Tamandua tetradactyla: one gene and its partner. The protein of the gene in region 1 interacts with the protein of each later gene in a pairwise test. Links are inferred from orthologs where the notes say so. Each region holds a gene or a part of one and is shown in the gene's direction. Other genes may lie near its edges.

What was found.
Region 2: the proteins of CKM (region 1) and ASB9 interact in binary tests that used the Homo sapiens proteins (3 or more experiments, as listed by UniProt). The two-hybrid records come from large-scale screens. The link is inferred for Tamandua tetradactyla from reciprocal best matches to the Homo sapiens genes CKM and ASB9.

Annotation. Positions count from the first base shown.
Region 1 is NC_135342.1:15,655,287-15,671,209, forward strand, and holds the start of CKM (creatine kinase M-type), read left to right. Parts: upstream 1-8,629; 5' UTR 8,630-8,761; intron 8,762-10,884; 5' UTR 10,885-10,903; coding exon 10,904-11,096; intron 11,097-11,837; coding exon 11,838-11,992; intron 11,993-12,389; coding exon 12,390-12,522; intron 12,523-14,097; coding exon 14,098-14,269; intron 14,270-15,332; coding exon 15,333-15,456; intron 15,457-15,923. UniProt on the Homo sapiens protein: Reversibly catalyzes the transfer of phosphate between ATP and various phosphogens (e.g. creatine phosphate).
Region 2 is NC_135353.1:159,757,991-159,774,048, forward strand, and holds the start of ASB9 (ankyrin repeat and SOCS box protein 9), read left to right. Parts: upstream 1-8,260; 5' UTR 8,261-8,669; coding exon 8,670-8,763; intron 8,764-15,424; exon of another isoform or gene 15,425-15,535; intron 15,536-15,614; exon of another isoform or gene 15,615-15,696; intron 15,697-16,058. Other genes in the region: ASB11 (ankyrin repeat and SOCS box protein 11), read left to right, coding at 603-727. UniProt on the Homo sapiens protein: Substrate-recognition component of a cullin-5-RING E3 ubiquitin-protein ligase complex (ECS complex, also named CRL5 complex), which mediates the ubiquitination and subsequent proteasomal degradation of target proteins.

The DNA of each region.
Region 1 (15,923 bases):
CTTTCCATTCTGTAAAATAGGAATAATCAAAGGGTTATTGTTACATATGGACAGTACGTTTATCAGGGTCGGGCATATGGAGACACTTAGCAAATGTTAGCACTGATTGTATACTATTATAATTATTGGTACATTTTCTTCCATTTCTAGAATTTGTCAGCTCCTGACCTTGTGTATTGTCAGAAGTTTATCTTTAGCACTAGAACAGAGCCTGGAGCTTATTGGGTGCTCGATAAATATTTGTTGAGTGACTGACTAAACGAATCAAACCCTAGAATCATAAAATGGTCCAAGCTTGGTGCACAGGATTTTTACCTCAACTCACGCTTTTCCAAGCATCTGCACTAGGGGCTGCTTCCAGCAGAGGGCGCCTTGGGACCGTGAACCAGGCTCCCGACTTCAGCGCAGGTCAGTTATCTCCCACGGAGCCACAGCCAACCTGTTGCTTCCTCTCCTCCTCCAGGAAGCCCTCTCTGATTTCCCAGGCTGGGTCAGACATCCTTTTGGGGGTCCTGCAGCCTCCTGATCTCCCCCATCCCAATCCTGCCCACTCTGGGTTGTAGCTGTCTAGGAATGGGTCTGTTTACACCACGGGACAGGAGCCCCCTATGGAAAGGAAAGACCAAGTCTGTCTCCCATCACTGCCATGTTCCTAGCACGTCCAAGTACAAGTGAAGGCACTGGGGAGAATGGTGGTGCCTAAATGATGGAATGCACAATCTAACTCTTCCAGAGGGGGCTGGGAGGGATAAAGGGACAGCTGAGCTCCCCTCCTTACACCCACTCCCATGCTTTTGGCCTCAGGACACTGTATGTTGGTTCTGCACACAAGGCAGGGTGGGTGATAGACTGGTGCAAATCCCAGCTCGGCCATTTACTGGCTGTGTGTCCCGGAGCCGGGAGATAACCTCTCTGGGCCTCGGGCTCCCCATCTGTAAAACAGGACTTGTGAGGGTAATCTACTTTATCAGGCTGTTGTGAGGGTTAACGAGTCATCCCGAGAAAAGGCTTAGGAGACGGTGGTGGCACACAGCAGATACTACATGTGTGTGGGGAGGGGTGGGGGGGCCAAGGGACCTGGAGCCAGGTAGATCTGAGTTTGAATTCTGGCCTTGTCGTTTCCTTGTCATGTGACTATGCAAGAAATGACCTCATTCTGAGCCCATGTTTCCTCCTCTGAAAAACAGGGATGATCAGGTTTACCACACAGTATTGTGGAAGGATTCAATGAGGGAAAGGTTGAAAGAAGAAAGTTAACTAAGGCAACCATCTCTTTAGGCTGGCCCTGTGCCAAGCAACTTTCCCTCACACCAATGAGGGCTGGTGTTTCTGAGTTCTTAGCCACACCCAGGTGCTGAGCCAAGCTCTCCTACCAACCCTACGAGGCAGGTGCTAGGATTATCCCCATTCCACAGATGAAGAAGACGAGACACAGAGAGGTTGAGTAGCTTGTCTAAAGTCACACAGCCAAGTAGTAGCAGAGCCATTAAATCCATACAATAGTCACCTGAGGTAGGTACCATTATTAGTCCCACCTAAGATGAAGAAACTGAGGCTCAGAGAGGAGAAATAGGTTACCCAAGTCCATATCCAAGAAGGCAGTCAACAAACACCCCATCCTGTTCCATAAGGCCTCAGTTTGCCAACTCAGGAAAATGGGTGGATGGGTCAAGGATTTTCTTTTTCACCTCTCATCCAGTTTTTTTTTATTTTCTAACATTTTTAATTGTGAAAGATATATACACAGAAAGGAAAGAAAAAGCAACAATTTTCAAAGTGCACTTCAACAGAATAGATTTCAGAGTTTGTCAGGGGCTACCACTCCATTATTTCATATTTCAGATTTTATCTTCTAGCGGATCCAAAACACCGGAGGCTAAAATCAGTGTAGTGATTCAGCAGTCATATTTATTTGTTAAATCCTATTTTCTCTGTCATACCTCTTCCTTCTCCTTTGCTCCTTCTCCCAATCTATAGGGATCTTTAGGTAATGCTGGTTCTGATTTTTTCATGTTGAGAAGGAGTCTCAACACTAAAGGATAGGGGGATGTACTTAAGATAACCTTGGAGAGGCTGGTCCCTCTGGTGTTTCAGGATGTATCTGGCCCGGGAACCCTCTGGAAGTTATAGGTTCCAGGAAGTCAAAATTAGTGTGTGAAACTTTTATAGCGTCTCCGCTCCAGCCCTAGGTGTTCTGAAGAGTCAACAGGAGTGATGCTGGTTGGGGGTTAGCAAACCATGGCAATCAGCACTCTCCAACCGACGCTCAGGTAACAGTAGCCTCCGGAATAGCCTCTTGACTCCATTTGGTCTCTCAGCCACTGATGCCTTATTTTATTACACTTCTTTCCCCCATTTTGATCAGGAAGGCTTTGCCGGTCCCTTAGTTTGGCCAGTTTAAAAAAAGTCTTATTTTTCCCCCCTTAATTGAAAAATTTATGCACCGTCAGAAAAAGAAATTCACAGAATATAAAAGGAGTGAAAAGTAGGTCTTCATCTCTTCTTTATTTATTTATTTATTTTATTAATTAAAAAAATTAACTAACACAACATTTAGAAATCATTCCATTCTACATACGCAATCAGTAATTCTTAATATCATCACATAGATGTATGATCATCATTTCTTAGTACATTTGCATCGATTTAGAAAAAGAAATAGCAAGACAACAGAAAAAGAAATAAAATGATAATATAGAGAAAAAATTAAAAATAAAAAATACAAAAAATATATATAAAAAACAAAACAAACAAACAAAAAACTATAGCTCAGATGCAGTTTCATTCAGTGTTTTAACATAATTACATTACAATTAGGTAGTATTGTGCTGTCCATTTTTGAGTTTTTGTATCTAGTCCTGTTGCACAGTGTGTATCCCTTCAGCTCCAATTACCCATTATCTTACCCTATTTCTAACTCCTGATGGTCTCTGTTACCAATGACATATCTTCATCTCTTCTTGATCCCTAGATACCTTCTCACATACCTTCCAGAGATCTTCCACGGCTTTGGGCTGTGTGCTGATATAGGAGTGTGTGCGCCCATTGAAGTAAAACAAGTGAGGAAACACCTCTCCATGGAGGTGGGCTGAAGATTCGTTGGCCTTGACTTTGGGCTTGGCCACGTGACAACTTTGCCAGTTCTACGCTTAGGCCTTCGGAGACCTTGCATGTTTACTTTCATGCGCTGGCATCATCATCAGAAGTGTTTCTCCTACGTGGCTGCTCCCCCTTTAGCCCACACCCCACGGTGGAGATGTGGGGGACAAATTTCCCACCTGAGCTCAACCCAATCAGCCAACCCTCAGCTAATCCCACATCCATGAGAATAAATGGTTGCTGTTTTAAAGCCACTGAACTTTTTGGGGGGAGATGTGTTTCATAGAGCTTTTGTGGCTGTAGGCATATCGGGTTTTTTTTTTTTTTTTTTTTTTTCACTTAGCATGTATAGATCTGTGTGCTGGCTTGAAAGGATGTTTGTCCCCTAGAAAAGCCATGTTTTAATCAAAACCCACTTCATAAAGGCAGAATAATCCCTATTCAATACTGTATATTTGAATCTGTAATCAGATCATCTCCCTGGAGAGGTGATTTAATCAAGAGTGGTTGTTAAACTGGATTAAGTGGAGGCGTGTCTCCACCCATTTGGGTGGGTCTTGACTGGTTTACTGGACTCCTATAAGAGAGGAAACATTTTGGAGAAAGAGAGATTCAGAGACAGCAGAGAAGAACGACATAGCCACAAGAAGCAGAGAGCCTACAAGCCAGCGACCTTTGGAGATGAAGGAGAACACCTCCTGGGGAGCTTCATGAAACAGGAAGCCAGGAGAGAAAGCTTGCAGATGACGCCTTGCTCGCCATGTGCCCTTCCAGCCGAGAGAGAAACCCTGACCCTGTTCGCCATGTGCCTTCTCACTTAAGAGAGAAACCCTGAACTTCATCGGCCTTCTTGAACCAAGGTATCTCTCCCTGGATGCCTTTGATTGGACATTTCTATAGACTTGTTGTAATTGGGACTTTTTCGGCCTTAGAACTGTAAACTAGCAACTTAGTAAATTCCTCTTTTTAAAAGCCATTCTGTTTCTGGTATACTGCATTCCGGCAGCTAGCAAACTAGAACAATCCACTTTATTCTTTTTAACACCTGCATAGTATTCCAGTCATCTTTTATCCAATAATAAAAAGATTCTTAAAAAATACTCATAGGACAGAGAAGAAATAATAAAAGAAATGAGAAAATCTTTAGAACAGGCCAATCATCAAATAAAATATACATGTGCTTCCAATGGCAAAACCAAATGCCAACAGGCAGGGGGATTAGGAAAGGGGTATGGCTTCTTTGTGGAAGAAAAAGAAATAAAATATACACAAAAATATAACAAAACCTGTTAAAGTACAAGCTATTGCTACATGCAACAGGATGAAGGAATCACCAGAAATAATGTTGAGAAAAAAGCAATCCCAGGCAAGAGAGGACACCCCTGCTGGACCGTGGCTACCTTGGAGGGGAGAGGAGACACTTAACTGGAAAGGGACAGGAGAGAGCTTTCCGGGCTGCTGACAGAGCTGTATCTTGATCCCGGTGGTGGTCACTCCAACGTCCAGATAATGTCAAAGTTCACAGAGTTTAAGATTAGGGCAGTTCACTGAATAGAAGTCATGCCTTCATTTTTAAAAAGTACATTTCAGAAAAGAGAACAAAATGTGAATGCGTGACCATCCAAACACTCCAAATTTACTCAAACGTAGCATTTTCAATGTAAAGAATAAAACTGAACTAATAATGCAGAAAGAATCAAACAAACAAACCCAAACCTGTGGTATGCAATTAAAGCAGCACCTGCAGGAAAATATATAGTGAGTTGATTTGGAGGGACTCAAGCAGGGCAGGAAGGGAACTTCTGAGAAGAACTTGTTCTTACTGGCTCCTCTCCCTGCACCCCTACCCTGCCCATACCGGGCTTGACGTTCAGCAGATTACAGGGCTGCAGCAGCTCTCGGGGGACAAGAAGTAGGGGTAGGCAGACCCTCAAATCCCCGCTTCTGGGTCTGCCTTTGATTTACAGTTTGTCTTTCTTGAATCAGACGACATTATAGACAGTTGGGACTGGGAGAGGGTTTGGGGTTGGGGAGGACCTGGCCAGGGGAGGGACAGGTTCAGGGGACTTGCTAGAACAAAGGGAGAATGTGGGAGCAGGGCTGCTGTGCAATGCCCGGCCTCAGGGGTAGGAGTGGGGAAAGAGTATAGGCTCTGGGATTCCAGACATATGGGCTGTGTGATCCTGATAACTCAACCTCAACCTCCATCCTCTATAAAATGGCACTGCAGAGGTGGGATTGGTAAGGACTTGAGAGTATCACCGCAGGATCTGAGTGCCTGGTCCAGTGTGACTCTGGTACTTACAAGCTGTGTGACTCTGGGTAAATGAAACAACCTCTCTGGCCAATTCATTCTCCCAATTCTTAAAAACATAGTGCCCAATCTCATAGGACAGTTGGAGAATTAAATTGGCTAATGCACATAAAGTCCTTGGAGCCTGAGGTCAGACTCTTGGGCTGATGAGAAGGGCAAGGGGAAGCAGGTACTAATGACCGGGGTCTGATGTCCTGAAAAGGGACCCTGAGCTGACAATATAGTCTATGACTTTGCTGGGAGACTTGGAAGATTCTTTTCACTAAAGTTTGAATACATTATTTGCAGTTCTGTCAGTTTGAATCCTACCTCTGTCTCTTCCCAGCTGTGTGCCCTTGAGCAAGTCACTTAACCTCTCTGAGCCTTATTGTTGTGAAGGTTAAATGAGTTACTCTATATAAAGCACAGAGTACAGCACTTGACACATGGGGACTGCTCTATAAAAGTTAACTGGCAATGACTGGAATGGCTACTCAACAGCCATGCTAAATTTTTTCTAGAGCGTCTTCCATCCATGAAGGGCCTGCAAAGCTAAAAACTAGGTTTTCCAGAGGGAGTGTGGTTCTGAGGCTGAGAGGTGTTCCTGGAGGGCCAGCCTAGAGCTTGCTCTCTCAGCCCTTCCACTGGTAGCAGTGGCTTTCCAGGGTAGAATGGTTTCTGTGGCCTGCAGTTGTGTGATATGACGACTATTATTTTCTTAGTCAACAGATACTCATTTATCTTGGGGGCACTGGGGAGCCATGGCAAATTCTGAACAGGAGGGAGAGACGGGGGGTGGTTGGGGGGAGGAGAGACTGGGTCCAGAGACCAGGGAGGTGTCTGGGCAGGATGAGACACCTGGGAGATGGGGGGCCTTAGCCAGGGTGGGCTGTGGGGAAAGGGAGGAGGCCCAGAAAGGCTGGGAATGAGAAGGGACAAGCAGCAAGATCAAGATATGTATATGTGGGAGGCAACAATGCTCCCCAAAGCCAGCTGTTTCTGGGAGATGCAAACAAGGTAAAGCACGTTAGAGCTCATGCTCGGGGTCCTGGCCCCATCCAGGCCCCATGCCTGGACCCCTTGCTCCAGGGGATTCTGGGAAGCCACGTTTCTGGCATTTTCCGCTTCTCCAAAGGAGGCCGTCAGCAGGTGGGGAGAAGACAGAAATGGCATGTCATGCTGTGCAACCCAAAGAGAATGTCGAAGGCCCCCCTCTCCCCCATGGCCATCCGGGGCCCACGGCGCTTGGCCGTGCCATCCGCAGAGTGTGTGTTGAGGCTGGATCCTGCGTCTCCCCTACTCACAGCTCTCCGTAGCTTCACCCCATCCCTGGTGAAACTGAAACATTCCCCCCCCCCGACACCGTGGTGTCCAGGGCCCCATGCTCTGCTCCCAACCCCCCTCCAACCTCATTTTCTCCCCCACTCCTCCCCTTCCCCTCAGACCACCTGGTCTCCTCAGTGTCCCTCAGACTTTGGCTCTGGCCCCCTCTCGCCTCAGGGCCTTTGCACCTGCTCCCCACCCCCGCCCAGCCTCCAGCCACTCTCCCTCCAGATTCCCACATGGCTGCTTCCTTCCTCGCCCTCGGAGAGGCTGGCCCTGACCTTCCTTTCTGGAAGGTCGATGCTGCACCATCAGACTCATCCCTTGTCCTCTTCTCTTTTCCTTCAAAGCACATATTGGCCCTGACATTACATTATATATTCACTTGTTCACTGTCACGAAAAGGTCACTTCCATAGGGCAGGGCTTTTGTCTGGTTAAGCTGTGTTTGAAGTGCTCAACAACTCATTGTTGAAGTGATAACTGCATGAAGATTTTGGGCCTGGGTTTCCCTGATCATGATCTAGAACCTTCGCCAGCCTGTCCTTGCTGGGAAGGAGCAGATAGGTGGAGAGGTCAGGGCGGGGCCTTTCACCTAAACCAGTCCTCACCTGCCTGGGAAGAAATGGGGAAGACCCCGGGAAATGCCAGAAAAGGTGGAGACCTGGGAAGAAGGGAGGAGGCCGGGAGAGGAGGGACCAACGGCCTGTTCTCCGTGGCAATCCCAGGCGCTCCCTGGAGGAGGCGTCCTGCTCATCTTGCAATCCTGGAGCCCCCCAGGCGAAGGAAGCCGCTTCCTCTAGGCCGACCGGCCGAGTCCTTGAGGTCGCAGGTCACAGTCGAGGGGCCGAGCGCTTCCTGGCGAGGCTGGGGTCCGCACGGATCCCGGGCCCGCGCTGTTAAATGCGTCGCCGCCCGGCCCCGACACAGAGGTGGGGGTGGGGGCGGCCGTCCGGGTCCGTTGCTGCCCTTGTAAGGAGGCGAGGCGCGGGGACACCCGAGCCAGCCGGTTATAATTAGCCCGGACACGTGGTGACCCTGCCCCCCACACCTGCCCCCGAGCCCCCCCATCCCGGGCGCCGCGGGTCTCCGCCTCCGACAGCGGAGTGCGCTCTAAAAATAACTCCTTTCTCGGCCAAGTTCCTCCCTGTCCCCTCCGCCCCGCTTTCGTGGCGGAAATCTCCCAGGGTCATAGCTGCCCTCCACGGTGCAGTCCTGAGTTTGAGTCTCTGTAACCCAGCCTGCCTCAGTTTCCCTTCTGCTCACTTCCAAGGAAGAAGGAGGGAAGGAACATCAGAGCTCAGGCTTCTGGGGTCAGACTGTCCTGGGTTCCAAACACCTCCCCCCTTTGGTCCCCTCCCTAGCTGAATGGCAGCGGGCAAGTCACACAGTCCCTCTGGGCCTCTTTGTTTTATTTTCTGGAAAACGCGGGTGCCGCCCTCCCCGGGTCACTGCGAGGTTTCCTGACTGGTGCTCTTAGCAAGTGGTGAGCGCTCAGTACCTGCCACTTTGCTAGGGTCAAGGGGATCGGGGACTACAGAAGAGGCCAGGGAAGGTTGGGGGGAGCAGAGGAGGGGGCTGGCCAGGCCAGATGAGGGGGCTGGCGGCCCAGCAGGCTCAGGGCCTGCAGGAGGCTAGCAGCCGAGGGCCCGGGGACAGCGGACGAGTGGCTTCTATGTGCCTGGGACGTGCCCGGCTGCTGTCCCGTGCTCTTGGCCACGGGCCAGCTGTCCCCGCCAGCCCGACTCAGCACTTGGTCGGGGAATCAGCTGTGGAGGGGTGGGGGGTGCCCAGGCCCGGCCCCTGCAGTGGCCCATACAAGGCCCTGGGGCTGGGTGCAAGGCACCCCTGGGTTTGAGGTGGGCATGGTGCCCGGGCGGGGAGGTAAGAGGCCCGGCTGTCCTCTGGTCCCCTCCCTGGGAGCAGCCACTCCCAGCCAATAGCACAGCCCAGGTCCCGCTATATAAGGCCTGGACTGCAGGCCCCTCCTTTGGGTCAGTGTCGCTTCAGAGGATACAGACAGCCCCTTCCAGCCCAGCCCAGCCAGGTACTGCCCGAAGTGGGGGTGGGGTGGGGGCCAGAGCAGGGGTTCCATGGGTGGGCGCCAGAGTCTGAGCTGGTGCTGGAAGACCCCACTGCACCCTCCTGTGGATGGGCGGGCCTGTGTGGGGGAAGGATGGCTTCGTGTATCTGAGGGTCCTCTCCACCTGGGAGCTCACCTGACCCCCTGGGGGCACTTGTGTCTCTGTGGTGCAGGTTCCTGGGGAGGAATCTCAGAGAAGAGAGGGGTCTTGACAGCTGCCAAGTGTCTCCCCTCCCTGTGAGGGGCTGTGGGGCTGGGACTGTGTTCTTTAGTGGTTGTTACCCACACTGGTGCCACCAGCGCACAGGCTGTGGGAGGGATCTGTGAACCTCTCACGTGTCAGGGGTGCAAGAACAGGTGTTGCAGGGGCTTTGCGGTTGCGACCCCCGTGTAGGACCCTGCTGTGTCCCCTCCAGGGGTACCTGTGCCCTGGGCATTTTCCCTGGCAGGTGTGACCCTAATGGCTGTTTATGGGGTGGTTTGGGGTGTCCATCATGGCGTGATGTCCTGTGTGTGTGGATTTGGGGCTATTTCTGCTGGGTCTCCTGGGGTTGCCCGTCTTGCTTCAATACCCTTCCTGGGGTGGCCCTGGCGGGGACAGGGGTGGTCATACCCTCAGGGGGGAGGGCTCTGGGCCGGAAGCCCAGAATGTCCTTGAGCCCCGAGGCCTGGGTGTGTGTCCTCTGGGCTACCCTGGCCCACCTGTCTCTGGCCTGCTGACTTGGTGCAAGCCGAGCCCCTGGAATGTGGGGGTAGGATGGGGTGGGGGGCAGCAGCTGGGGAGGGGGGAGGAGCCTGCCAGAGTCTAAAAATAACACCACCCCACCTGGCAGCAGCTCCAGAGGGCCTTCACGGGTCCCCTTCCCCACCCTGGGGCCCGGCGCCTCGGCCCCCACTCCTGCGTTCCTTCCCGCAATCCTGCCTGCTCCCGTCCCTGAAGTGGGGAGTAGGGACCCCAGCCCTGCCTGTACTGCTGGAGGATCCCGCCCCCTTTCTGGGGCTAATAAAAGTAATAACAAACATAGTGGCCACCTCCTAATTTCTGGCCACATACTCCATGCCGAGACCTGGGCTCAGCCCGTCACACCTCCCTGGGACAGAGGCTCAGAGAGGCAGAGCAACTGGCCTGGGGCCACACTGCGGGAAAAGGGCATCAGTGGGACTTGAACCCAGTCTTGTTGGCCCCGGAGGCTGAGCTTTCCTTCCGATTGAGGCCCATAGGAGGGGCATCGGTAGGCAGAGCTGGGGCCAACCACCAGCCAGTCCTCCCACCCTGGTCCTATGCTTGGATTGAGCATCTAGAAACCTTTGTGCAGAGAATACACCTTCTCTTGCGCTCCCACATTCATTCCCTGCCACGCCCTTCATCCCACCATCTCATCAGCTCCTCACAGACCTTTAAAATAACAACAGTGATATGAAAGCAGCTAGGCAAAAGAATGCTTACTGTGTGCTAAGCACTACTGCAAGTGTTGACATGCTGTCACTCATTCAGCGCTCACAAAATCCCCATGAGGTAGGCACCATTATGACCAACTGATGCCCAGAGAGGTTAAGCATCTTGCCCAAGGACGCACAGCCAGCTGTAAGTGGCAGAACAGCTTCCAGCACCTACATTCATAACCATGGCACATCCAACTCCAGCTCAGGGGTTCCCCCACCCCCCACCCCCCCCCCACTCCCATTTTCCAGCTGAAGAAAAGGAGTCTCTAGCAAATTTATAATCTAGAGTGACCCAGCCAGGAAGTGGCAGAGCTGAGGCCTTAAGCCAAGACCCCTCAATACCAAAGCCGGTTCTTCCAGGAGAAGTGCCCCGTTATGATGTGCTGGGGCTCGTGTGCACAGATGGTTCAGTGGTAGAATGTTCGCGCCTGTCATGCGGGAGACCCGGGTCCAATTGCCCCCCCATGCACTACCCCCCAAAAAAACCAAACATGCTGGGGCTCAGTGAGGGGCCCCCCTTGCTCCAGGTGACCCAGGGCTGGAGTGAGGAACGGCCTCCAGGCCCACTGGCCCCCAAAGCCTTGCTCCGATTTCTTGCTGGTCTCTGCTGGGTGCGGGCTAACCCTCCCCTCTGCCACCGCCAGGCCCCCACACGCCGCCACCATGCCTTTCGGAAACACGCACAACAAGTTCAAGTTGAACTACAAGGTCGAGGAGGAGTACCCTGACCTCACGAAGCACAACAACCACATGGCCAAAGTGCTGACCCTTGACCTCTACAAGAAGCTGCGGGACAAGGAGACGCCGTCTGGCTTCACCCTGGATGATATCATTCAGACGGGGGTAGACAACCCAGGTGGGCCTCCCTGGCCGGGAGCTAGAGGGGGGCTGGGGTGAGCCAGCAAAGGGGTCAATACGTGCGAAGGGCACCCCCAAAAGTTCACCAACATAACGTGAGACGTTGAGGAAGTCATTTAACCTCCCGAGCCTTGGTCTTCTCATCTGAAAAATGGGCACCCACGGGATAGGCTGTCATGGAAACATCAACTCGAGAGCGTGGAATGGGAGTGGGAGCTGTCAGTGTTGTGGACAAAGGGCCCCCGCAGTGGAGACGGGGGCTGGTGGCAGGACCCAAGGTTCTAGGACCGTCTCGGCCTCTGCCTCACTGTGTGGTTGAGGGGAGACTCCCTCTCTCTCCAGGCCTCAGTTTCCCCGTGTGGGAAACAAGAGGGTCTTTCGAGTCTCTTATTACCCCGACCTGCTGTGGGTTTTAAAGATGTTTAGGCTGAGATTCCATGATTGTGGGGTTCTGAGGTGCTAATGTTTTAGCCCCTTGTAACCAGCTGCCAGAGACTCCCCTAGAGCCACCCTGTCCCCTGGATCCTATCCCCCACCCGGCAGCTTGCTGTCCGCATCCGCCTCCTCTCCACCTTCTCAATCCTGGCCTGGGGGTCTGGGGTGAGCCCCCACCCCCTCCCCTGCCCCTGCCCCCTCCCCTCCCCCTCCCCCTCCCTTTCCCGCACACCCAGTCCTCACTGGACCCAGGGGCCCTGCTCGCTGGGGAGCAGCGCCTCTGACCTCATCCCAACCCCCCCAGGTCACCCATACATCATGACCGTGGGCTGCGTGGCCGGGGACGAGGAGTCCTATGAGGTTTTCAAGGACGTCTTCGACCCCATCATCCAGGACAGGCACGGGGGCTACAAACCCACCGACAAGCATAAGACCGACCTCAACCATGAAAACCTCAAGGTCAGGGCCCCTGGCGTGGTGGGGGGCGGAGTCTGGGTGGAGCAGGGTAGGAAGGGCAGGAGAGATGGAGAGGGGCCAGGGTGGCGATACGGGGGGAGGCAGAGATGGGAGGGGGGAGGGGGAGAGGGGAGACAGGGGCGGGAAGAGACTGAGCTGGGGTGGGGGGGCAGGTGGGGTGCAGCGGGCAGAGGCTTGGCCAGGTGGGGGGGAGGGCGGGAGGGGGCAAGGGAAGCAGCAGAAAGCCAGAGCCCGAGAGGACCGAGGAGGACCTGGGGCTCCTGGGGTCGCACAGGTGGGGGCACCTGGGGCTCAGCGGGCGGCGGGGCAGGCTGAGGGGGTACGCCCCGGAGGGTCTGCCCAACCCTGACACCTCCCCCAACTCCGGGCTGCCCTCTAGGGTGGAGACGACCTGGACCCCAACTACGTGCTCAGCAGCCGTGTCCGCACCGGCCGCAGCATCAAGGGCTACACGCTGCCCCCCCACTGCTCCCGCGGCGAGCGCCGGGCCATAGAGAAACTCTCCGTGGAAGGTGAGAGTCCCTGCCCTGGCCACCCAGGGCAGTGACCTGGCCCTGTCTAGGTTTCAAAACCGTGAGAGGAGCTTGGCAAACCCAGGGGTGCTTGGAGAGTGATGGCCTCTGCCGGAGAGGGGAGAATGTCAAGGCCCAGGCTGTGAGCAGCATGCAGCACTCCCTGCCCCGGGGCCCGGCTGAATGTACTTCATTCATTTGGACAAGGTGACTTTTCCTGGAGCCCACAGGATAAGGGATATGATGGAACACAGAGACCAATAAGTGCACAAAATTTCAATGTGCCAGGAAGCCAAGAACCGGGGGGAAGTGGTAAAGAATGAAGGGGGGCAGCTACTTTAGAAGGGAGGCGCTGAGACCTGACTGACAAGAAGGAGCCTGCCTTGGGAAGAACTCCAGGCAGGCGGAAGAGCAGTGCAAAGGCCCTGAGGTGGGCATGTGTTTTAGGGGTAGAGGGGGTGTGAGGTGGGGTGGGGGGGATGAGGGGAAGGGGTAGTGGTGGCCAATCTGTGCAGGGCCTCCTTTAGGCTTTAGCTCTGAGTGAGGCAGAAGCCACGAAAGGTGGAGAGCAGAGGAGGCACAGGTTTAGACTTACCTGGATCCCTCTGGCTGCAAGGTGGAAACAGACCATGGGGAAGTGAGTAAAGAATGGAGCAGGGAGGCCAGTCTGGAGGCAACTGCAGTGGTCCAGGCAAGGGACAGGGGACAGGCACTGGGATGGGGAAAAACAGGGGGATCTTTTGAAGGTAGACCTATCAGGTCCTGCAAGCAATGGTGTGCTGGCAAATGCTTAACAACAGGCTCTCTCTGTCTCTCTCTCTCTGGGGTGGGGGGAAGGTGGAGGGGAGGGGAGATGTGGAAATAGCCCAGATTTGTAGAGTTTGTCTATTTCTGTGGTGTAAATTTTCATACTAAGGCCAATTTTAAGCTGTCAATGTAGCATCATAAAATCAATGAAAATAACTCAAGAACAGAGATTATAGTAGAGGAGTAAAATAACTCGGAAGTGTCAGTTTTGAGTATTTATTACCTTTGTTTTCAATTTAATTGTATGTTTACATAATTTAATTTTACTAATATATAACAGCATATAATATATGAACAATATAAAATGTATATAAATATATAAAATATGTAAGTATAAATAATATATAAAACATTATACATATACATAGGCTACATTAATTATACATATAAATATATATAAGTATTATAGATAGCAGTAATTTTTACTAATGGCTCTGCAAATTCTTAAGATTTTGACCATCTCTCTTGAGAGCCCTTTGGTTGCTGGAGGATTGGATGTGCCCTCAGGGGAAGGGGAGAAGCTTCTTTTTTCTGGCTTAAGCAGCTCATCTTCTGGGGCCCAGGTGGATGGGAGAGGAACCCATTTTGGTGGGAGGTTGTGACTTTGGGTTTGGACATGGTGTTTAGGCATCCTTAGGACAATGAGTGGGCTGAAGCTCAGGCCTGTTTGGGGCAGCTGTGCAGGAGGGCCCCTGGCTTCCGTGCCCTGGTTGGTGGGTGGGGGTGAGGGTGGGCAGGCTGGTGACCACCCCCTCTGTGGCCCCTCAGCCCTCAACAGCCTGACGGGCGAGTTCAAGGGCAAGTACTACCCACTGAAGAGCATGACCGAGAAGGAGCAGCAGCAGCTCATCGATGACCACTTCTTGTTCGACAAGCCCGTGTCTCCGCTGCTGCTGGCCTCAGGCATGGCCCGGGACTGGCCTGATGCCCGTGGCATCTGGTGAGGACCCCCACCCCCCACCCCGCTGCCCCATACACAACCATGGCCTCCCCGCCTCTCCCAGGCTTCCGCCCCCACCATCCCCACAACCCTCCCCACTCCCCAACCAAAGTCAGGACCATACAAATAATGATGCTTCTAAGCACCACACTCATCCGGACACCACCCCGCCACTCCCTGTGTGTCACATTTTGGGAAACTTGGACTAGAGAAGGCACAGTTAAACTTTAGACTTAAATCAGACTCCCTGAGTTCAAATCTCAGCTCTACCACTTACCAGCTGTGTGACCATGTGCAAATATATTTAACTTCTCTCTGTCCCAGTTTCCCTGTCTATAAAATGGGGGTGGTGGTCATTCCTAAAGCTTGGGGTTCTTGTGGAATTAAATGACTTAATAAAATGCAAAGTATTGAAAGCAATGCCTGGCATATAGTAAGCACTCGGTGCCTGTTGGTTATCAGTATTACCACTATTTCTAACTGCTAGTTGCTAGGTAGACTTTCTATGAGTCTTTGACTCTGATTTTGTGAGTCAAATGTTTAAAAAGGTTTAGAGAACCTTTCAGAGGATTAGGGGGGTCTAGAGTTCTAAAACATACAGATTGGATGATGTTAAGATTTCAAGATTTTAAATATCCATAGGTTCTAAGATTTCACTAACTTCTGATTCTGTGATCCCACAATTTCTAACATTTCCAGATCTTAATGTTTTATGGTACTAAGCCTCTGTTTCAGAGATGTCAGGATTCTGAGATGTCACATTTTGATGGGAAATTTGTCCAGTCCTGCTCTGCATTCCTAAAATGTATCAGTTAGGTTTTTCAAAGATTATGTGATTCCAAGAGTCTATAATTTAAAGGCTTAAGACCCAATGTTCGAAGACAGAAGACTTTAAAAGTCCCTGATGTCCAGCTTCGAGGCTTTACAGACTCTATATAACATCAGAGTCTACAGGTAGAAGCTTCTAGCTTGAGGAAGAATTGGACCACCCTGGGCCCTCGTGTTGGGCATGGGGAATGGGGTTTCCGCTGACTCGCTCGCCTTTTGCTGGGCCCCATCCTAGGCACAACGACAACAAGAGCTTCCTGGTGTGGGTGAACGAGGAGGACCACCTCCGGGTCATCTCCATGGAGAAGGGGGGCAACATGAAGGAGGTCTTCCGCCGCTTCTGCGTGGGGCTGCAGAAGGTGGGCGCCGCCCCAGGTTGCTGACTTCTGCCCCTCCCTGAGCCCCGCCTCGACCCACTTCTGGCCTCCCGGCCTCCCAGCCCCCAATTCCGTCTCTGCCCCCGTGTCTTCTTGAGCCTCTATTTTTTGACCTGACCTTTAGCTCGACAAACCACCTCTCCCTCCATCGAGGAATGGGGATTTCTGACCTCTAGGAAAGGACTCTCCGTGCCCCACGGGAACACACACCGCCAGGAAACTAACTGATCCTCAGCTTCTCAGAACCCGCCTCCACCCGCGTCCTCACGCCCCGCCCCCTCGGAACCCGGCCTTGCCCCGCGTCCTCACGCCCCGCCCCCTCGGAACCCGGCTCTGCCCCGCATTCTCACGCCCCGCCCCCTCGGAACCCGGCTCTGCCCCGCATTCTCACGCCCCGCCCCCTCGGAACCCGGCTCTGCCCCGAGGCCTCACGCCCCGCCCCCCAGGGG
Region 2 (16,058 bases), on another chromosome or scaffold:
GCGAGTTGGGTCCTTTCTCTAGAGCCTCTACTGAGCTGGGATCCTTGCAAGAATGGAGGGCCCCTTAGAGTGTGTTGCGCCCCAGACAGCACCGCCTCCCAGGCAGCTAGAGCAGGAGGGTCCAGGAGGACCCCAAGGCCTGACTGCCTGGCCCTGGCATATCTCCTGACACCACCTCTGACCACACAGGCTGGGCTTCCTGCAGACACCCTCTCCACACTCGTCCCTCAGCTCAGCAGCTTCATCTTGGAGGTCCTGCAGGCTCAGCACTTCATCTGAGAGTCCTCCTCCACCAGCACGTCACGTCCAGTCCATGAACAGGATGTACACTTTTAAACCCCATGCTTCATTCCTCACTGGCCTCTGGTCAACATCACAAATCCAATTGCCATGTAAGGATCAATTAAAAGAAACATGCCCCCTCCAGAGGGGCAGCTGGGAGTGTGCATTTCATGTCTGCCATCTTGCTCTGTCATCTCCTATGCAGATCCAGTTTCTCGTGTCCTTTTAGAAAGTCTTCAGTCCCTTTTGGTTCTCTGGTCTCCACCCTGCATCCCCACCCCCACCCCATGGGGATTAAACCATTTGTATCCCCTCTACAGGCCCGCCTTCCCTTGCCCAGCTCTGCCGCCTGTGTATCCGTAAGCGCTTGGGTCGTGCATGCCATCAAGCCATCCTTGAACTACATCTGCCGGAGCCGCTGGAAAGATTCCTCCTGTACCGATAGGCCCTACTGCCCACTGGAAGAGCCTGGGAAAGACACGGGCTCCTGCCTGCGGTGCCCAGGTCTCCTCAGGCATGGACTCTCGGCATCTTCATGTCAGCTTAGCCATTCAGGTCGGTCCCAGACACTGGGGGTGTGAAAACTACTGGCTGGTTTAATATTCTCATTAGCCAAGGGGCAATGGGCAACATTTCCATCTTTAGCTCTTGTTAAAAAACTTTAAAAAAACCAACTGTCAAGTAGACTGAGAAGAATAGGCCATTTTTCGATAGCTCATGATATTCAAGTACGTAAGTGTCAGTTTTCTGCATACCGTGTAGACATGTGCAAATCCAGGGGGAGATGACGATGAATGTTACATAGCCCAAGAAGTGGTCCTGACTTAGTTTTTCCCTCCTCCACCCTTCTTTCTTTCCTTCCTTCTTGGAATAAATCTCTGCTAGCATTTTGATTCCCCTGCCTTTTTTTTTTCAATATTAAAAACAAAAAGCCAAATACATGAAAAACAACACAGTGAATGGAAGTTTCCAGTTACTGAAATGGTTGCTAAGAGAGATGTTGGCAAAAATTATGCCAAACAAATCTCAGGGTCTATTTTTCATCACTTCTGCTATTAAACACTGCTCTCGGAAGAAAGCAGTTCTAGGATGGTACATCACCAGGAGTCCCATCTACCTGAACCTACAGGTGCCATCTGATGCCTGTTGCCACCCAAGCATTGGGTTCTTTTCAATGCCAAGAGAACCTCAGGGTGTTTGAAAATATTACCCGTGCATACCAGTCAGCAGGGCAGACTCAAAGCTGGATCAGTATATTTTCCGTGGGTAGGGGCCCAAAACAAGCAAAAAAGCATATATGAACAGCCGCTGCTGTCTCCTTTTCTCTCTCCTCCTCTTTCTTTTTGTAAGTTTAAAAGATGGAAATTAGACAGACTTTTAACTATTGAAAGTGCTACTGTCGTGATTCAGTGACTCAATCATGTTACCTTCTCAAAAGAAAAAAATTAAGTGAAACACACACATATAGAAATAAATATATATATGATTAACTTCTTCCTCTCTCAGGTGACCCTAAAATCAGTTACATACGTGATTTTTTTTTCTTCTATTTTTCTAGATCTTTGGTTCTCAACTGCAGACAATTCCCCCCCACCCCCACCCCCACCCCCAGGGATATTTGGTGATGTCTAGAGAAATTTTGGGTTATCATAACCAGAAGGCGTGCTACTGGCCTGAAGTAGGTAGAGGAAGCAGGTATTCTAGACTATCTCATAAACTAATTTTAATTAGTTAGCTATTTTGGGGAAAAGGTTAAAGTCTTACCTTATGTCACATTTTAAAAACAAATCTCAGGGCCGGGCCATGGTGGCTCAGCAGTCAGAGTTCTCTCCTGTCATGCCAGAGACCCGGGTTCGATTCCCAGTGCCTGCCCATGCAAAAAAAAAAAAAAAAAAAAAACCCAAATCTCAGGTTTTTGAAATGTTAAGAAATGTGAAAATACTAGAGGAGAATGCACGTGAATATTTATGCACTCTGTGGGCAAAGCCTTTCTAAGTATAATATCAAAGGCAGAAAATTTTAAGGGCAACACTGACAATTTAGAATACATTAAAAATTATGTTGCCAAAAATACCGTAAAATGAAAGGGCAAACAAAAATGGAAGAAAAAGCTATATGTGACATTTATGGCAGATCAAGGGTTAATGCCCTGGCCATATAACAGGGACAAAGGAGACCTTCCCTCCACCCTACCCCACTCCTAGTTCCTCAACTCTTCCAAAATTCCTTAAATTATTTTAAGTGTTATATATAGCATTCGATTCTCTCAATTTTGGTTCTGATTATCAAGGAATTGTTTCTCCCCAAATAATTCTCATCCCTAACTTTCTAATACTGCCATGTCAAGTAAGCATGATGTTGGATGAATGATTCTTTTTTTCAGTTGCAAGCCTCATTGCTGAGATTTTATGCACTTAGCACAACAGAGAAGGGCGGAGGCTTCAGAGGCAGAGCCTGCAGCTGTTATGGGGAGGGGCGGGGCTGAGTGACCACAGCTTGTCCCCGGAGGATGTTCTCCCCACTGGATGACCTCCGGTTTCCTCCCATCGCAAACCACTGTAAGGATCAGCTCTTGCCTGGACATTTGCAGAGCAAATATTTCAGCTCCTTCCCTTAGTGGGACGAATGCATGGGTCAGACCGAATAGCAGCTTCCTATTTTTTTCATGAGTTGAACCTGTAAAAAAATCTATGCCAGAGTTTTATTTCCACTTATTAATTTTTCTTCCCCCACCATTGTTGTATGTTTCAAACTTCCAGAAAAGTTGTAAAATAATACAATCAACCCCTCCATGCCTGTCGCCTAGATCCACCAATTGTTAGCATTTTGCCACATTTGTTTCTCTTTCTGTATGTGTGTGTATGTATATATGCATCTATGTATGTAAACACTAACATCTCTGTATAAAGCATATATAATTAATACATATGCATACACACACACACACACACACACACAGGTTTTTATTTTACTGAGCCATCTGGACATCATACAGACATCATTGCAGACATCATAATTTTTCACCAGGGCTGGCATTAGGGTGAGGCAAGTGAGGCCCTCACCTCAGCTGCAAAATTCAAGGGAACACCAAACACTCAGTCATCAAGCTAAATAATATTTTATGCACTATTTTAAAAAATAAATATTAAGACATCCACAATTAAAAAAAAAAAGAAAGAAAGAGCAACTGAAGAGACAATGACAATTAAATGCAATATGTGATCCTGGATGGGATCTAGCAAGGGAGGAGAAGAGGCTCAAAGGGACATTATTGGGACATGTGAAAAAAATTGGAATATAAACTGTAGGCTTTATAGCAATCACACATTTCTTGAACTGGATAACTGCAGTTAAGGGGGTTACGTGAGTGAATATCCCTGTTCTTAGGAAATGTACGTGACAGTATTAAATGTTCAAGGAGCAGGATGTATACAACCAATATTCAAATATTCGGAGAGTAGACTTACCAAAACATGGATGGATGGATGGATGGATGGATGAATGGATAGATAGAAAGAATGATGAGGCAAATGTAACAAAAATGTTTAAATTGGTGCCTCTGGTTATAGGGGGTAGGGGTATGGTGGAGTTCTCTGTATGGGGCTTGTATTATTTTGGGAACTGGCTTGTAGGTCTGAAAGTGTTTCAAAATGAAAAGTTAAAAAAAATGTATTGGCAAGAAACCCACGATGACCAATATGCGAAAAATTTTAATAAAGGCACACTGTTGGTGTTTGCTTTACGACCCTACAGCATTGTGCAAAGAGAACAGTGTTTCCGATCAACCCGGGTTTCTGGGACATGTGGTCATGGGATTTATGAGGAATGACAATGGCATGTGAACAGACCAGGCCCGGTGGGGGGCTTTATCTGTACTCATGGTTGTTTGTTTGTTTGTTTGTTTTCTGTAGAGCTTGTATTAACTTTTTCCATTTGGTGCAAAATGTGTATATAGGGGCGCACATTTCCCCTTTTGCCCAAGATGTCCATAAGGCTCTATACCAAATACTTCCGCATGCAACTCCTAAGCGCGCAGAGTCCCCACATAACCGTGATACAGTGCTCCTCTCAGGACGTCTGGCATCGCCACACCACGGTGACCCAGTGTACATCCAGATTTCAGGTTCCATGCTTGGGGCCCTGATGTCTTCTCTGGCTTGTTCCCCATTCAGTTTCCAATCTAGGATGTTGCATCGCATTTGATTATGTGCCCCTTTGATCTCCTTTAGTATAGAATGCCACACCCCCACTTTGTCTTTCATGCCATTGAAATTTTTGAAGAGTTCAGCTCCATTATCATGTAGATGGGCCCTCAATGTTCATTTCTCTGATTGTTTCCTTATGAATACTGTATTATAGCAGATTTTTAAAAACATGTTCTTGTTCGAATCTTGCTCTGCTGCTCTGCTGAGCAGGAAGGCAGAACGTTCTATCTCTAAAGCAGCAATACCAGATAACTCAGCATGCAGAGCCAATTCTACAAGAACGACTGGAACAGAGAATTTTTGCGTAAAATCTGATAATTCCAAATTATCAGTGAAGCTGCATACCTTCTGGGCTTTAAAGGGTTTGTGCTAGAAAAACTGCGAGCAGAAATGACAAGACCCCCTCTTTGCAGTTCCTGTGCCAACTCTGACCGAGTGGCCGTGGGTGCCTTTGGAGACAAGAGTCTCATGACCCATGAGTCATGCTTCCTTCCTAGGGACATTATCTCAAGGGTGAGGCAGAGGGACTGGCCAGTGTTGAGACTGCACCTGATAAAGAATGAGTGTGATGGGTCCCTATAACCTCCAGATGGGTTCCTAGGCCAGATAAGTCCTGAAGCCCTGAGGGGCCAGCCTCTCCAAGAACATCAACTAGTTCTATCCCCTGTCCCTTGTTATTGACACCCTTTTCCAACATGAAAAGTTAGAATAGGCATAACCCAAATATCCCTAAAGATTGGGTGAAGGATCAAAGGAAAAGGAGGAGTTTTAACAGAGAAGATGGGATTTAACAAATGAGTATGACTGCTGAATCATAGTATTGATATTTCTTTCAGTCTCCAGTGTCTTGGAACAGCTAGAAGGAAAACCCTAAAATTGTGGATCTGTACCATACCAAACTCTGAAATCTGTTCTGTAACTGATTGTTGCGGTGTGCTTTGAGATTTACTGCTCTTTTGTATATATGTTATTTTTCACAAGTAAAAAAAAAAAAAGAACAAGTGTGACCTTAGAATCTGCTGTAGGCCATAATTCTTTTTTCTTTCCCAACCGGGACCAGCCTCGCTGAACATGCAGACACACACAGTGACACGCAAAGCCTGAACAGCTGATAAGATAGTTGATAAGACTGCTGGTTTGTGGTAATCCAACCCAGTTCTCTCTAATCACGGCTCATACACATGCAAATCAAATTGATCCGCATGTAAATCCTTAAAAATGTACAAACTCTTCTTATAATGCTTTTCTAGTTCTTGATTAGAACTATGGGTAGTTTTTTAAAAATCACAAGTGTCAATAAACATTACAAATATAATGAGAAGATTAAAAACAGATTAGTTGTTCAAATGGGAAATTTTTGTTGTATAAATGTTACCAGAATAGAAATTAATTTACACACACACACACACACACACACACACACACAAAGCTGATTCCCTCACAGGCACCAGGGCAACATCCTGGAAGTCTTTATTGTCATTTCCGACCTTAAATTTGAATATGGAGAAATCTTATCTTCTTGGAATTTAATTAAAAATAAAGGAAGACGCTGAATTGCCACTTACCAACCTCCTCTCCACTGAAGGAGTGCCTCCCCTACTGGTTTGAAAAAGTTTTCATTTCTTTTGTTTGCGCTTCCACCCCCTCATGTTTATTCAGTAGCAGCTTGCTTGGCTGCAGGAAAAGTTCCTCTTTCCCTTCCAACACCTGCTAAGGCTGGTTCTAGCCAGTTCAAGGGGCTGGAGCATGCTCAGTCAGGAGAAGCCCTGACCTAACATCACCATTGCCTAATTACAAATAGTAAAAATCACTCCCACCCTCCATTTTTGAACATGTGATGCGTGAAGTAGCATGATCTGACCTGAGCAGGCTCCCCTTTAGCCCACTCCCCCCAACCCCTCATCTCATCCACCCTTAGCCCCTCCCTGAGGCCCACCTTTCCCAGGTAAAACCTCAGCTCCCATTCCGCTTGGGGAGACTGCTCTGAGGATCATCTCTTGGATCTCCTTGCTGGTGGACTGCGTGATAAATCTTTTCTCGAACTCCTGGTGTCACGGCATTGACTTCTGTGCACATAGGACAAAATTGCCCACTCAGCGGCAACAAACCTGAACCATGAAGATTTTGCTAAGAAAGAATGGTGACGGGTTCCAGCTTCTCCACTACGCCCCTCTGTCTAACTATTTGTAGTTCAGTCGAGCCTGGGACTACATTTTTCACTGACTGTCAAGTAAAAATGACATCGTTCTTCAAATCTTTCCTGAAGCAGTGGTGAAGAATTTATATGCTTCTGCCCTTCTCAGTTAACTATGCAAATAGAGATGGGGTAATTTGGCACCTTTTAGCCCCATTTTAAATGAGCATCACTTTTTTTAATTGAAACATCTTTTGAGATAATTGTAGATTCACAGGCAGTTGTAAGAAAGAAGACAGGAAAAAAAAAAAACCCAAAAAAACTGAGAAAGCTCGTGCACCTTCTACCCAGTTTCTCCCATGGGTAATATCTTGCAAAGCTCTAGTACAATATTGCAACCAGGATATTAAATGTTGATATGGTCCACTGATCTTATTTAGATTCCTCCAGCTTTTCTTGTACTCATGTGCACGTGTGTGCCTTTACATGTTTATGTTTTTTCTTTAACAACTTATCACCCGCATGTGAGCATACTTTTTGATTCAGTGTTTCCACACTTAGAAATCTCTCCTCCAGAAATATTTGCATATGTGCACAAAGCCATATATTAAAAAATATGGGCTGCAGTGTTTTTGTAGTAGTAGCAAAAAAAAAAAAAAGAAACATTCTGCCTCCATCATATGGAATATGGACTAGGAAGGCTAGGCGGTAGTGAATAAAGAAAGGAGCATGTAGCTATATATGCTGAAACAGAAACATCTCCAAGTCTAATAAATGTGAAGGACATAGAAGAACATGACAATCTAAGGACATTTATGTGAACAAATGGTAAACGGATAAATGTATATACAGATGTGTGCAGGAAATGCATTGTAATGACTCCTTGCATTGTTGACGATGGCTACGGAGCGTTTCAGCTGGGATTCTTAAATCAGAAACAGTGAAGCTGCCTCAGCATTCAATCAAAATTCCGCTATCATTTCACAGCCAAACTAACCTTGAAACTAACTCAGAACCTTCTCCCACTGGAAGATAATCCTCTTCCACCTGGCAGAGAGGAACAGTGGGAGTCCAGGGTCGGTTAACAGCCTGAACCAGCACCAAAGGGCGCTGTGAAACTGGGTTTATCTGAAAAGATACATATACAGAAAACCCAAATATTTTGTAACGAAGACTGCAAAACGTTTATAAAGGAAAACTTTATAATCAGCAATTGGAGAAAGATAGCAGGTGTCTTGCAAACAACCCCCACCTCCATGCCACCCAGAAACTCATTTTTCCTATAGCAACCCATTAATTCTTTACTGGGAAGTGAAAATGTGTGGAGGAAGGGTGAAGTACATTTAATGAACTCCTTGCTGTCCAAAGGGGAAAAAAAGAAAAAGTTCTTTCCAAACGTGCATGTCTCTGTGACATACAGACACATTTTCTCATAGGAAACTCTCAGCAAAATTGAAACCACGTGTGCAGCTGACCAGGCTTGTTGTGCTTTTTGTTGTGCTTATCTCTGCGCAGCGCAAGCAATTCTGCAGGGCTGCAGCAAAACCAGCTTTCTCAAGCTCTCGGGGGTGGGGGTGGGGGTGGGGGGCTGGTCTCCACGAGAAAAAGTAACAAACAGCTCTCAGCAGGGTGGACCACGGTGCAGAAGGCGAGCTGCTTCCCTCAAGCCCGCCCTTGTTCACGCTCCAATGTTACAAACTTTTGAGTTTCCTTCCTGATAAACTCCAAGGCTGCCTCACTGATTGGTCTCAGTTTTTGGAAAGGACGTGACATCAGCAATTTTGCAGACCTGGGGCTTGTGGGGCTGTCGTGGGCTTTGGCCGACCTCCAGCCAGCTAGGTGGAGCGTGCGCGTGTGCGAGTGCGTGTGCCCGACCCGCAGGTAGCGTTGCCCAGATTCCCGCTGCTGGCTGCGCTGCTCTCCGCGGCGGGCCGTCGGGGCAGGACGCGCGCCGCTTCTCAGCCCGCCGCCGGGGACGCCTGGGACCCCGGCTTTCCTGAGCACCCGGAGGGGCGCGCCGAGTTTGCCTGGCGACCCGGGAGCGCTCAATGGCTGGCGAAGGAGGGAGCAGGAACCGCAGAAAACCCCTGGGGCCAGGAGACCGTCCCACCACCTGGCTCCTTTCAAACCCAATGATGCGGGGTGAGTCACGGGGGCTGTGGAGTCGTAGCGCCCGGGGAGGTTGGTTCCCGGGCTCGGGAGGTGCGTCCACGGGGCAGGTACGGGTCCGATGTCCGCGGCTCGCCGGGTCGCACACGGATTAAACGGTTTTCACCTGTACCCCGAGAGCCCCATAGACGGTGACGAGTCCGTTTTCACCGATTCTTCTCCAGCAAAAACGTCAGCCTCCAAGGAACTGTTCTTTGTCGATGCAATGCATCCCTTGTTTAAATGGGAGCTTTCAAAAGTTACTTATAACTGGGGAACTTTTTACTGCTAAACCATTTCTTCGAGTCACAAGTCATAGGTATTTGGCATTCAGGTTTGGCTGGGTTTAGAGATGATGTTTCAAACACAGCCTACTGATGGACTCATTTTAAAGGGATTTTTTCCCCCCACTTTGGGAAAGTGTCTTACAGGTATGATTCTTAACCGGTTGGGAAAGCATTCATTCAGGGCTCAAAGGATTCTGAGAAACAGGTTCAGGCAGTAGAGGACAGACCCTGCGGCTGCCCACAGCACTTGTTGATTCCAGAGCCAATAAACAGAGACCCTGAGATCCACTAAGATGTATTAATTCCTGCAGGGCAGGTGCTGAAAAGGGACAACACAGAAGAAATAAAAAACCGAAACGCTTTCCTGCTGACTAATTGAGCGGATGAAGTTCATTCATTCATTTATTTAGTTTTGCTCACAAAAATGAGAGCACTCAGCATTGAATAGGACCTGGATCCACAGAGGCAGGACTGGATTAATGAGCAGATTTGTTCAGCATGAACTGGGGACCGTAGGAAAACAGGTGGAACCAAAAAACATATTTTAAGGATAATTTGATACATGGGTTTTTAAAGCAACACATCGGTCATTCTGGGAAAGAATCTGTAATTTGGTTGCCCTCCGTACAATTATTTTACAGCTAACTGTTTAGGGTTTCTAAAGGTCCTAATCCTACCTGGGTGGGGTGGGATGGGTGGGTGGGCGTGAGCAGGCATTACAGTCCAGGCCTTGGGGCTTAGAAAGTGAAGACATTGTCACAGGTAGAATGCAGAGTGTCTTAGGACATCTAAGGAGGACAAGTTTGGAGAGGTGGAGCCTGATAATGGCACTTTACAAGCCAGGCGCAGGAGTTTAGTCTTCACAAAGCAGGGAGCCACTGATGGTTCTGGAGTGGAGCCCTGCCAAAAAGCAGAATAACTAACAGTGAGTAAATTAATTGGGGAGCCACTCTCAGGATGGATTGTGGGAGGATCACAGGAGATTCTTGTACTACTCCATTGGTTTAAACTTTCATGAGCATCAGCTTTACTTAGAGGGTTTTAAAAATGCAAAGGAATGGATACCACCCCCCACCCCCATCCCCAGAGCTTCTAATACAGTGGAAGGCCTGGGTGGGTGTGGAGGTGAGCCCTGGGAATCTGCATTTATAACAAGCTCTCAAGTAATGCTTGTGCTAGTCCCTGGGGGCCACAAGTTTGAGAACTACTGCACTAATCCAAGCATGACTCTTGGATTTGGATCGAACTGTGGAAACAATAGAGAAAGGGAAATTACGGGTGATATTTCAATGGAAAAAGAAATCAGGCTGTGTTGTGTGATTAAATTCTGAGGACCAAGGAGACGAAGCAGCCAAGACTGTACAGTTTTTGAGCCTAAATTAATGTCAGATAAGGGAGCTAGCTGAGAGAGAAATTGGGAAGGCCCGTTGGCCCGGCTGTGGAGTGAAGAATGGAGGGTGAGAAACTGATGGGAACATCAGTGTAACAATGACATGGCTGATGCACAGCAAGATGATGTGGGCCTAACTTGGAACGAATACAGGGCAGGAGTTGGAGACCTGAGAATGTTCTGCACGGGGGCTGCGGCTGAAACCTCAGTGAAGGAGAAATTGTCTGGGGGCCAAGTGCTGAGGACCAAGGAGAGGCCCTGGGATGGGCCTCCAGGGGGTGGCGGAGGCCCGTTTTTGGGCAGAGAAGCCAGAAGAGACTAGCAGGCTGTAATTCCACAGGGACTAAGGGAAAGGACGTTTTCCAAAGAAATCACAAGGCAGATACCAGAACACCTCTGCTCTCTTACACCCTCCTTCTCTGCCCCTGACTGGCAAACTCCTGCTTACCCTCCACACCCAGCCAAGCTGCTACCTCCAGGAAGCCTTCCCAGACTTTCTCTCTCTTCCTCTCCAAGAAGAGTGATTCTCTCCCTGCTTTGCCTGGGTCCTGTCTCTTGGACGAAACCTCAATTATGCTGGGTTGTGCTTGTTGATGTTTCTGAAGTCTTGACCTTGGTGAAGTGTGGAATGTGGACCACACAATGCTGTTTGCAAATGGCCAGGAACGCGCAGCTCAGGAGACCTAGGCCAGGCCAGAGGGAAAGTAGGGACCCGCCGGGCTGATGTGTTGAACTCTGCTGCTCCCTCCTCCCCTTGCTGGTTCTTGGAAGAAAAGATTTAAGAAGGCGGACAACCAGCTCTTCAGAGAGATTTGTTTAATGCTTCACTTCCCTGCCCCAGGAACAGGAAAAAATGTGTGTTCCCCTGCCCCTAAAAGAAAAACAAAAAAACCCTACTCATGGAAACTTTGGAAGGTACATTGAAGGATAAACTAACAACAATGCATAATCTCACCGGCCAAGTAACGCTGTTAACCATTTTGGGTGTCCGTCCTTCAGGTTTTGACCTACAGACTCCCACGGATAGGGATTTATTTTGCCTTAAAAACTGAGCCGATCTGTAGCGAGTCTTCACATTGAAACAGAAAACATGTGGGAACAGTCACGGAGAGGAAACAATTACATTCTCTTATGGTGGAGTTTTAGATATTGGGGCAGCTAAGCAGGGGAGAATTTTCTGGAGAAACCTTCCTGATCAGATAGGTTGGGTGGCCACTTGAGGTCCCATGGCCAGGGCAGCCCCTTATAAAGTGAGCCAGGGGCAGGGAGGGAGAGGGAAGAGGACAGGTGACAGATGACGGATGACAGAGCTGGAGGAAGAACTGCAGAGGACAGGACCAGCTTGCCCCAGAGTTCACGAGCTCCTGCCTCAGTGGGCCTTTCAGGTTGCCTCGCTTCTGACCATGATCCCCACTTTCTCTTTCTCTCCAACCTTCGTTTGGCCTGGAATCAAGCCAAGGTCCCCTGTAGTCATAATCGGCCCCCAGGTAGTCTCTGGTGTCACAGGCGGGCCACTGAAACACTCTAATGCACCCAAAATGCCCCCACCCCTCAGAGCAACCCGATTTCTCTTCTGTCCCCCTGACCTTGCAGGACGTTTCCCGGCAAGGACACATTCATGCCACTGCCCAGCCCTCGCTGGGGCGCTCAGCTTCCTTCCTAGCTCTTGTAGGAGTGCACCAGTTGTCCCATGTTAAGGCTCTTCTGAAATCATGGAAAATGTGAAAATCATTCCAAAAATTCAATGAAAACAAAACAGCAGCCTTTTGAAGGCGCTGCAGGGCTTGATCGATGCACAGTATTTCAGAGTCCCCCGAAATGCAGGGTGAGCTTAATGGCGCTACTTGGTTTCGGCGGGAGAGCGTCCAGGCCAGCATTAACCCTGAGCTGTACGGCAGGATCCGCGGCGTTGCCAGCAACCTGTTTGGCCTCTATTTTTTTGGCAGCGAAGCCAATAGACCCTGGCTTGAACAAGTCCTGGGGAGTTTTCTGTAACATATGCCAAGGGCTTGGAGAGCTCGGTTTGTGTACAGATAATGACCCTGGGGTTTCAAAGACTTTGGTGGGGCCAGCAGGAGAGGTCCCGGTGGCTTGGGTTTCCCCTTCGTCCATCACACAGCCTCCCACCGTGAGCAGCGTCCATGCTCTGGGAGGAACAGGCCCTCTCTCCTGCTTATTCCCATCTTTCCAGCTGCCAGTGAGCAGGAAGAGACTCGAAGCGGCTTCTGGGTTTAACCAGGCCCACGCTGAGCCTGTGGCTCGTTGCAGCATCTCTTGGGCCTCCCAGGCAGACCCTCATTTGGTTCCCACCAGGTGCACTTAGCGATCTCTTGAGGGTTTTCAAGAGCCAAGGAGAGTCTGTTGGTCTACCCGTTGTGGGTTTGAAGCTGTCATGTGCCCCAGGAAAGAGCATGTTCTTTTAATCCATTCCTGTGGATAGAGACCTGTTGTGGGTGGGGCCTTTAGATTCAGTCATTCTATTTGGGAGGTGACCCAGCCCATCCATTCAAGGTGGGTCTTAATCCTCTTACTGGAGTCCTTTATAAGAGGATAAAAGAGAGAGAGAAGCGGGCAGAAAAAGCCCCACAGAAGCTGAAAGAGAGAAACCTGCAGAAGCTCAGAGAGGAAGCCACCGAAGCCAGAAGCTGAAAGCAATGAAAGCTGGGAGAAAAGGCCTAGGAGACGCACCGTGTCCTTTGCTGTCTAACAGAGCAGCCCAATCTCACCAGTAACCTGCCTTCAGAGACGGTATCATCCTCTTGATGCCTTAATTTGAATGTTTTCACGCCCTTACAATTGTAAACGTGTAAGTTAAGAAATTGTAAACGCCCGCCCATTTCTGGTATAATGCATTTTGTGAGCTTTAGCAAACTAAAACCACCCATATTGCAAATAATGGCATTTGCACATTCCATGCTCTCGAGATGTTAGGAAAATGTCACCTTATCCATTGTCCCAGCTTTAAGCTTTTCCATAATCACTCAGTTGTTCTGCGGCCTGCAAAAGCTAAAGTCCTTCTATAAATCTGAGATGGATTTTGGCTCAACAATGACCCGAGTTTTTCTTTGTGGCAGGAGAACAGGCATTCTGTGGTAGGCTTACCAAGCTCTGGACTGCAATTAGTTAGAAGGGAAGCTTTGCGTACTGCCAATGGGAATGTCAAATGGCACAGCCGCTTTGGAGAATAGCCTGGCAGTTCCTCAGAAGTTAAATGTAGGGTTACCAGGTCATACAGCAATTCCACTGCTAGGCCTACACCCAAGCGGATTGGAGAGGTGTGTCCACACACAAACCTGTACCCAGATGTTAACAGCAGCAGCATTCACGCTAGCGGAAAAGTGGACACGACCCCAATGGCCACCGACTGATGAATGGGTGGGTAAAATCTGGCCTATCCATATGATAGAATATTACAATAAAAAGGAACGAAGTACTGAGTCATGTTACAGCACGGATGAACTTTGAAAGCATTATGCTAAGTGAAAGAAGCCGGCCACAAGAGGCCACAGGCTGAGTGATTTCCTTTATAGGAAATGTCCAGAATAGGCAAATCCATAGAGACAGAAAATAGGCCAGTGGTTATCAGGGACAGGGGGAAGAGGAAATGGGGAGAGACTACTAATAAACACAGGGATTTTTTGAGGTGGGGGGGACGGTGTGTGTGATGAAAATGTTCTAAAATTGATTATAATTATGGTTTTGCAACTCTGTGAATATACTGAAAACCATCAAATTGTATGTTTCAGAAGGGCAAATTGTATGGTATATGAATTATATCTCAATAAAGCTGTTATACACACACACACACAGAGGAATAGAAAAAAGATACAGATACATAGATCTAAAGACATTAATATTGTCACCCCCCCACTATGTGTTCCAGGTCACATACTGTCCTGTTTAGAGACAGGCTGTCTCTGTAAATGCTACTTTCGAGTGCAGGGGTACAAACTCCAGGTAGCCTTTGTTTTTCTCTTGCAGAGGTACCAAATTATTTGCTCTAAAAAGAGGGAGTAATTGTTCCATGAGGACTGAGCAGAAAGTAAACCCTGTCTTAATCTACTCTTGATAATATATTTGCATCATCTTTATGAAATCGGAATGACATTACAGTTTAGGACCCAAATTACCCTCCTGGACTGTTTAAGCTGTCAACCCTCATTATCTTAGATCGTTTTAAGAAAGGTTGAGGAGTGTGGCTGCTGTATTTCTTAGCAGCTGAGGACTTGGAAGGAAGAAATGGATTAATCACTGCACATATGGTGAGCTATTAGGGTACATTTGCAAGTGTACCTCTCCCAATTTTTGTCCCACTCGATTTTGCGCGGATGGTGTTTTGCATTATCAGTACTAACAGGATGAAATGAGTCGTCTTTTCATTCTCATTTGGACCTAAATCTTTGCATGTTTACAGTCTACATTTTAGGTCCCAAGCCCTAGAAACAGCAGTATTTTTCTTGAGAGAATAAGAAACCTCAGAGAATGCTGTGAGGTGACTCAGTATCTGTTGAACATCAGGTTTCGGAGGTAGGAAAAGCCATGTTGCTTAAATAGCCTCAAGCGCTTTAGTGACTGCGGAAGGAAAGCCTTCGATGAGCAGTGCGTGGGCGCACTCATCTGGCTCCGTGCTCTGTGCTAAAGGCTTAATGAATCCATCTGAAAGGATGGTCATTTGCTTACTGGGACAGATTTTCCAGGACATTGATGGCTCCGGGTGGCAGGCAGGCCTCCACCAACGTGTGTTAAGTGCAAAGTGCCCTAGCCTCCTCCTCCTTGGCTTTTCAGTTTGCAAGGGATGGGGAGCTATCCGGACGCTCCAGGTCTTCTCAGCTTGTAGGAGATACCAGCTCCCGGGGAGGGCATTGCCGCCTGCCTTGTTTACATTTAGAGAGTTTACTAACGCTGGCAGAGCTGGAGTGCAGCAAGCTCAGACAAGACTCCCAGTGGCCTGCTCACATTCTAACTTGCCACACCTGTGTGTTCTGGCAATCAGACACAGCTTGAGATGAGAAAAATCCAGGTTTACACCTCATTTAGGTTGCATCCATGCTCAGCTAGAAAGGGAGAGGAAAGCGTTTCATGTGTTGAGGTGAGGTTTACAGTCTACCTTCCCAAGAATTGGTATTCTTTCTATATGTTTGTAGAATAAATTTTCTGTTTTAAAATAGCAGTGATTATGGGATGTAACCGAGTGTTTGGTGTTGACGGCCAGGTGATAAAGAGTATCCGATACATGTTGAGGTAACACAGGTAAGTATATGGCTGTCCTCACTTAACAGAGAAGGGAAGTGAGGCCCAGAATTTGTCTGGGGACTCATAGCTCAAAAGTCAAGTGGCATGCTGCCTTTGGGGGGGGGGGCACTGTTTCAAAAAGGCAAAACCCCCATTTTCAAAGTCAGTCTGAACTCCGATTTGTGCTAGGTGTCGGGGCTGGAGGTGATCCATAAATAGACTTAGTTCTCTTTAGGTCTGATTCCATACCTAATGGTGTGCATGTAATTACTTAAGTGTTTACTACTGTTAGTACATGACACTGTTTGCTGAGGAGCCAAAGTTTGAATTTCATGCAACCATAGCCGAAATAGACAGGCAACCTATAGCTTAACGCACTA